Drosophila melanogaster: one gene and its partner. The protein of the gene in region 1 purifies or fractionates together with the protein of each later gene. This does not show direct contact. Each region holds a gene or a part of one and is shown in the gene's direction. Other genes may lie near its edges.

The links. The genes of interacting proteins can lie anywhere in the genome.
Region 2: the proteins of Taf4 (region 1) and Taf9 purify together in Drosophila melanogaster (affinity purification with western blotting; 4 studies listed by BioGRID, with this or other methods). This does not show direct contact.

Annotation. Positions count from the first base shown.
Region 1 is NT_037436.4:16,111,212-16,114,966, forward strand, and holds the start of Taf4 (TBP-associated factor 4), read left to right. Parts: upstream 1-2,000; 5' UTR 2,001-2,154; intron 2,155-2,578; exon of another isoform or gene 2,579-2,673; 5' UTR 2,674-2,930; intron 2,931-3,096; exon of another isoform or gene 3,097-3,100; 5' UTR 3,101-3,260; coding exon 3,261-3,632; intron 3,633-3,755. Other genes in the region: Zn72D (Zinc-finger protein at 72D), read right to left, coding at 1-658. UniProt on the Drosophila melanogaster protein: TFIID is a multimeric protein complex that plays a central role in mediating promoter responses to various activators and repressors.
Region 2 is NC_004354.4:17,840,006-17,843,760, forward strand, and holds Taf9 (TBP-associated factor 9), read left to right. Parts: upstream 1-2,155; 5' UTR 2,156-2,253; coding exon 2,254-2,404; intron 2,405-2,468; coding exon 2,469-3,154; 3' UTR 3,155-3,343; downstream 3,344-3,755. Other genes in the region: CG6398 (uncharacterized protein), read left to right, coding at 155-284, 350-690, 757-922, 985-1,094; CG8142 (uncharacterized protein), read right to left, coding at 3,415-3,501, 3,564-3,755. UniProt on the Drosophila melanogaster protein: TFIID is a multimeric protein complex that plays a central role in mediating promoter responses to various activators and repressors.

The DNA of each region.
Region 1 (3,755 bases):
AAGTCTGCGGCCCGGCGCACGAGATTTTGCACACTTCGCAGTAGTGCAGCTGCTGGGGACGTGGAGGTGCCTTCGGACGCATACCCCTTATGGCCGTTGCTCCTGGTATGGTGGCTCCCATCTTACGCTGATACCAGTTATTGGCGCCGCCATTTGGTTTTTGGTTTGGATTGCCCTGATGCTGTTGGGCCACATACATGCTTGCCGCATTGTAGAGTGCTGTATCATAGCCACTGTAATTGTTGCCCGCCGGAGGAGCCGAACTAGGGGGCTTGGGACCACCGTTCGACTTGTCCATCTTGCCCTTGACCTGATTCTTGACTGGCGGAGCCGAGTAGTGCGTCTTGCTGACCGAGGCTGTCGAACCGGAGGCGTTGTAGCTGGCCGGCGACTGCTGATAGAATGTCTTGGTGGCGTCGTATTGCATGGCACTTCGATAGTCGCCGTAGCCACCATAACCCCCCGCCCCAGGGCCAGAGGTGGCGCCAGCGCCCGCTCCTGCTGCTCCGCCATAACCACCCTGTCCGGCGGCCACAGCGGCATTCTGATAGGCGGCCGCATTCGCGTAGGTGGCATTGGTTACCGCCGGGTACGAGACTTGGCCCGTATTGTACTGGGTGCCGCCGTAGTTAAACCCGGCGTAGTTGTTGTTGGCCATTGTCGCGGTGCGCTGCAATTACGAAAATCGAATTTGTTTGACAATCTGTCTGCGGTTTACTAGTTTACCATTGGCATTTGCATTTGCATTTTGGACCTGCCCCCATCCCCACCAAGTGCTCTACTTACATTAGCTGTCCTATCCGACTGACTGTCAATATTTATGGGACTTCGAATGCGGATTTATTCGGGAATTTATATGTGCTTTCCGAGTAATAGCCTGTTTATAGCTGTAAAAGCAAAGTGGTCTTAGTCACGTCATGTTGAGAAAGGAGCTCCCCCCACCACTTTCCCATCCGTTTTTCATCTGCTTTTCTCTATCGATTTTTACCCCGCAGCTTTGGACGCACTTTTCGCGTGTCTGGCCCACATGCGAGTGAGCACACGTGGCGATCTCTTTTCCAACGGCATTTTAGCCCTAGTTGTGCATGGTTAAAAAACAGTTAATGCAAATGGCAATTACCTGAAATCGGTTAAATAAAATTTTTCTTCCGTCTCTATGGGCCGGTACTAGTGTGACCGCAGCGTAATCGGATAATCATACTATGTTGAGCCCGACTTGAAACAAATACCACTTTTTATTTTTGGAAGTTTTTGGAAAATATACCATTACACTATATATGTTGCTTATTTAACGGAATTTGTTTAATATTAAAATTGGTATGGTCTATTTTATTAAGACCGCTATTTGTACGATATGTATTTAACTCGCTCTACAGAATTATTTTGCCCGTTGTGCTGAAGTTTAGCATTTCAAAGATACCGAAAACTAACAAAAATACCATCACGTTGGTGGTGGGGCATGTAGTTCGGTATCAAAGTGGAACTATCGATTGTTTGACCGTTACAAAGTACTACTCCTTCGTTTGAATATATATATGATTTAAGTATATGAGCAAATAGCGTTTAAATATAAAAAAATAATAACATTTTTGAGCATTTTCTTCAATTCTGTAATTACCTAACATTCAGCTTTAAACAGTACTCTAATAATAGTTTTAGTAGTTTCTAATTTTTGAGCGTATTCTTCATTTATTCAATTACCTAACATTCAGCTTTAAACAGTACTCTAATAATAGTTCAAAGGATTTAAAATGTATCGTATTCGAATGTATTAAAATAAATTATTTTGATCCTTAAAAATTGTGGCTTATTACCCATATAAAAACTAATGAGCATATAATTAATTTGGTATGCGGCTAAAATCCGATGGCATCAAAATGCCAGCAAACGTTTTTGGTTTTGAAAATGTACGCAACAAGGCTATAAAAAATCGACATGATATCCAAGTCACTACTTCTTTTCTAGTATTTTAATTCGGTATCGCGTTTAACACGACGATATTGTCGCCAACGGTCACACTGCACAACTCGTCCGTACCTCGGCGGTCCGTAAACAATATTTACTCGGTTTTCGGCTAAATCGCCAGAGAAACGCAACGGGAAATCGTTTAAAATGCGCCCCAGTGCACCGAGTTTGAACGCAAAATGAATTGAAGTGAGTGCATCTGCCACAGGGCCCAGAAAATTTCCCCCGACATTGCAGGCTGTACAAAACCTATACTGAAACACACGCACACAGTCGCACAGACACGGACGTGGGTTTATGCCACCACCCGCTGGCCACTAAAGTAGAAATTACTAATACTACGGCTGGCACGATGCTCCATATTGCCACTGGAGACATGTACAAGATGCATTTGTTTTCTTTTTGTTTTAAATATTTTTATGCGGATTTTCGAAAAATATGAATTTTTCCTAATAGAAATCATCAATTATTAAGTGCTCCACTTTCGAGTTGAACTTTTTTTTAAATTTAGTGCATTCACGAATATTGCGCACTCGCCACCCGCATAAACGAGCGGCATTGCCAGATCGTTGGTTACGTGTTTTTCGCACGCTATCTGGCAACGTCCACCAGCCTCGATTTTCGCTTTGCACGCGCATTCGTGAAAATGGCGGCGTTCTGGCACCGTCGCTGCCAAATTTTTTGTACATCAAAATAATCAAAATAAAGCATTCTTCCAGTGCTCAACAATCAGTCCGTGCGAGCACGCGCGAGTGTGTGTGTGCGCAGGAAAACCCGCCGATCGGGAAAAGTGTAGAAAGGCTTAGCGGCGCAAACAAAAGGCAGCGAATTAGCGAGATAACACACACGCGACAACGACTGCAACGGATGCGCCAGGAGAAAGGCCGACGACAGTGACGGCAAAGGCGAGTGCGAGTGAGCCAGCGCAGCACCAATTCAGCGGAGCACCCGCTTTTTTGGCCAAGGTGAATGCGATTACCTGTGCGCGGCATCCAGGTGTACGCAGCATCTGGTTTATGGCGCACGGCCGCCAGGTAGCCGGCGGTCAGGTAGCACCTCCACCGCCTACCTGTTTCTCCACCGCCTCGAGCCGAATCTTGTATAAATACTAAAAGCGCCTCCCCTTGCATTGCAGTTCGCTTCTGGAGCGCACAGCATGCAACAACTCCGCCAACACCAACACAGGATGTGCGCAACTAGTTGATCGGAACAGGATCGCTCGCCCACACCAACACACAGAAGTCAGTGGAATAGGAGAAACACACTCGCCAATAACATAAACACCACACAGCACGATGAACACCAGCCAGACAGCTGCCGGCAATCGCATCACCTTCACCAGCCAGCCGCTGCCCAATGGCACCATCAGCATAGCCGGCAATCCCGGCGCGGTCATCTCCACGGCCCAGCTACCGAATACCACCACCATCAAGACGATCCAGGCGGGGATCGGTGGTCAGCATCAGGGACTTCAGCAGGTGCATCATGTCCAACAGCAGCAGCAGTCGCAACAGCAACAACAGCAGCAACAGCAGACGCAATCCGTAGGTGCCACCCAAACACAAACCCTAGTTATTAAATCCAACCACCATGCTGTCACCCTGCCGGCGGGTCTAGTCTCAAGTGCACCAGCAGGAATCGTAACCATGACCAAGACCATCAATCAGGTATCCATATTAAAGCTAAACCCACTCTTCGGGCGCTAGGCGATCGCAACTCGGGCGTATCACTTCGTCCAAATCTGATCCCCAATCAAAACCCCCTCAATTCCTCGCTCGAATCGGATAGTA
Region 2 (3,755 bases), on another chromosome or scaffold:
TTAATCCGCGGGCTATAAATAAATGTGTGGCTATTAAGACAAGTATGGGTAGGGCCAGAGCTAAGAGCTAAGATAGGATAGTTTCAAACACTTGTAACCATAACTTTGAACTGCAATTGAGCTTAGCTAATATGGACTATCCTTTCGATTTCAGTCCTTTGCCGCCAAGCACTCGGATGCGGAGTCGTTGTTGCACAACATGAACGTGAAGTACTATTACTACACGAGGACACGAGGCTTGTTCCGGATCTGCTATCCCAAGGAGCGGCCGCCAGTTTCAGCGGGTGAGTAATGCTGCATTTTACATCACATGGGAGTTATTTAATCCATTTCCATTCCCGTCGCGCAGTGCCCACCTATTTGTCACCGATCGAGACACACTGCTCGAACATCGACTACTTCCCGCAGGCGGAGGACGAGAAGATCGCCAACGAGGACGCCACATCGCGTCTCCATTTGGCCCGCTCCTGCATCGCTCTGTTCATCATCAGCTTTGTGACCATCTTCTGTGCGTTCTGGACCGGATTATCCGGCTGCTGGAAGCGGTCGTCGGGCGCCATCACAGCCACCTCGATACTGCTGCTAGTCACCTGTCTCCTGGCCGCCGGCGCCATGGGACTCTGGCACACCGTCGAGTTCTTTGAGAAGGAGAAGGTCGTGGGCGAGGATTACTTCCAGCAGTGGAACACGGTATGTACACCAGCTGCATTGGGCATGTATGTGGATTAACTAATGATGAATATCTTGATTTATTAGGTCCTGCGCGACAACACGAAGATCGCCTACGACTGGTCGTACATCGTGGCCTGGGCAGGAATCGGAACCTGTCTCCTGGCGTCCATTCTGCTCTCCGGCGCGGCCGTTTGCCTGCGCAACGAGCGGGAGAAGGAGGAGCAGCTGAACCTGCAGTACCTGATGCCAGGTATGTCCATCGTGCTGACCCTCTAATATAACTAATGACTAATTTTCGGTTTCCATTTCCAGTTTACTCGCAGAAGCAGCCACCCTATCCCCCTTATGCCAACTACGCCCAGCCGCAGATCTACCCAGGACCTTACTATCATGGCTCGCAGTACGGACCCTACAACTACTAGAGGCACACCCGAAGGGGCCAGCCAGCTTCAGCCAGCAGCTGCAATTGAGTTATAGAGACATAGAGATCACAAATCATGACCAGGAGGGAACCTGGTAGCCCTCCCCAGTAATCAAAATAGAGCAAGCGCTAACGAAATCTTAAAACGCATACATTCTGACAATGAAAATATTACTTAAAGCATCAATTTTTTTTTTCGACAAGAATCTAGTTTGTAGTCTATATAGAGCTATATAGTATATATATATATGCTTGTATGTATAACTGATCGTGGGACTTGAGTCAAAGTTGCGTCCAAGTTTTTGGTGCGCGAATTGTTTGCGCGTTATTTTGCAAATATCTAAGAGAGACGAATGGATGGATGGTTTTATATGTTGACCACGGCGAGATGGCGATTTAAAGACGGAACAATAAAGAGTTAATTTATTGTAGCACGTAACGTACATGTAGCGTATCTAAAATAATAATAAAGAAATATGTGTATGTATCTAAGCTAAAAGTTTCATTGTACAATGTATATGAATGTAATAATGCGCGACAAGCTTCAATTGTCTTCCAAGTATAGTGCATATTGTATGTAGAGCTGTACGTTTAATGAATAAAAGTTTCTTACGTTAATTTAACAGTTTTTAGCTCCTTTTGGCGGGACTTCGTTTTTGTTTTTCCACAACTGGGGTATTCAAGTTTTGTTAATAAGCTTATCAAGTCGTGTGAGAGAAATTTTTGACTTTATTAAAACTAAACAGAATTGTAGTCTTCATTTCACTCTGCCATTTGTTCTCGTTTCGTTAATTCCGAAATATTTTGAAATTGTTGTTTCTGATAGTTAATATTCCACCTATTGGTCCACCTATTATGCCAATGTGGTGTTATGTGATCTGGTAGAAATATGCTTATTGTTTAATATTTTGGATAAGCTTCATTAGATTTGTTCCTACATTTAAAAATCGATTTCTAATTTAGCCGTTTTTTTTAAATGGCCAGAGCCAGAGTTGCCACCCTGCAGTCCAGCGGCGTTTTCCACACTAGACGTCTGCATCGATAGTATCGCATAAGCTCACCGATTTCCGATAGACCCGTATATATGTACGTGCACAATTTCAATGGAATAAACAATCTTCTTGCAGCAAAGCCGACGTAAACATAATAACTATAGAAGTATGAGCGCAGAGAAGTCCGATAAGGCCAAGATCAGTGCCCAAATCAAGCACGTGCCGAAGGACGCGCAGGTGATCATGTCCATCCTGAAGGAGCTGAATGTCCAGGAGTACGAGCCGCGCGTGGTCAACCAACTGCTGGAGTTCACCTTCCGTAAGCGGCGATTAATGCCTTGCTTTTCCCACATCATTTTCCTAAATGCTGTCTTGCATTGCAGGCTATGTAACCTGCATTCTGGACGACGCCAAGGTGTACGCCAACCATGCGCGCAAGAAGACCATCGACTTGGACGACGTGCGTCTGGCCACCGAGGTTACGCTGGACAAGAGCTTCACCGGGCCGTTGGAGCGCCACGTTCTAGCCAAGGTGGCCGACGTGCGCAACAGCATGCCCCTGCCACCCATTAAGCCGCACTGCGGTCTCCGACTGCCGCCCGACCGCTACTGTCTCACCGGCGTCAACTACAAACTGCGGGCCACTAATCAGCCCAAGAAAATGACCAAGTCGGCGGTGGAGGGCCGTCCACTGAAGACCGTCGTTAAGCCCGTCTCCAGCGCCAATGGTCCGAAGAGGCCACACTCCGTGGTGGCCAAGCAGCAGGTGGTGACCATTCCCAAGCCCGTCATCAAGTTTACCACCACTACGACAACGAAAACGGTGGGCAGCTCCGGCGGATCTGGGGGCGGCGGTGGTCAGGAGGTTAAGAGCGAGAGCACCGGCGCCGGCGGAGATCTCAAGATGGAGGTGGACAGCGATGCGGCGGCCGTGGGCAGCATCGCTGGCGCATCCGGTTCGGGAGCAGGAAGTGCCAGCGGAGGAGGAGGAGGAGGAGGATCATCTGGCGTTGGAGTGGCCGTCAAGCGGGAACGTGAGGAGGAGGAGTTTGAGTTTGTGACCAACTAGCGAAACGACATCATTTACCTTAAATTAATATTCTTAAACCAGACCAAAGCACTTGCATTTGGTTGAGCGAACTGGGGGTCTAAATTTCAACTCGAATGTGAAGTCCCAAAAACCTTAGTATAGATTCGCCCGTTAATCATTATGAAATCTACGTTTTATACACAAATACAACTACCAGATTTTCATATTAAATATAACATTTATTTTAGACTCCAGTCGCGGATAAAGTACATGTAATGAATGTGCTGAGTGGGATGAGATTACTTTAAAGCTAAGATGATGCAGCAGCCAAGGTCCATGATCTGCAGATACTCGGAGCCGCCGTCCTGCAGTCGAAAGCAGCATTCCTGTGGGATAAAGGCAGCAATAAACAAGAGGAATCATATCTATCTATGCAGTCAGTACGTACGCCCAGCTTATCGCAGATCGTGGCCTTTTGCGGATCATTCAGCCCCGGATGATGGACAATGAACTCGACGAACTGTTCCATCATTTGGCCAACGCTGTAGGCGGAGAAGCCAATCTCCCGCACGAACTGCTCCAGGCGCTCGTAGTTCCCAGAGCGACAGACCTCCAGGTAATCCTCCAGATAGTACTCCGG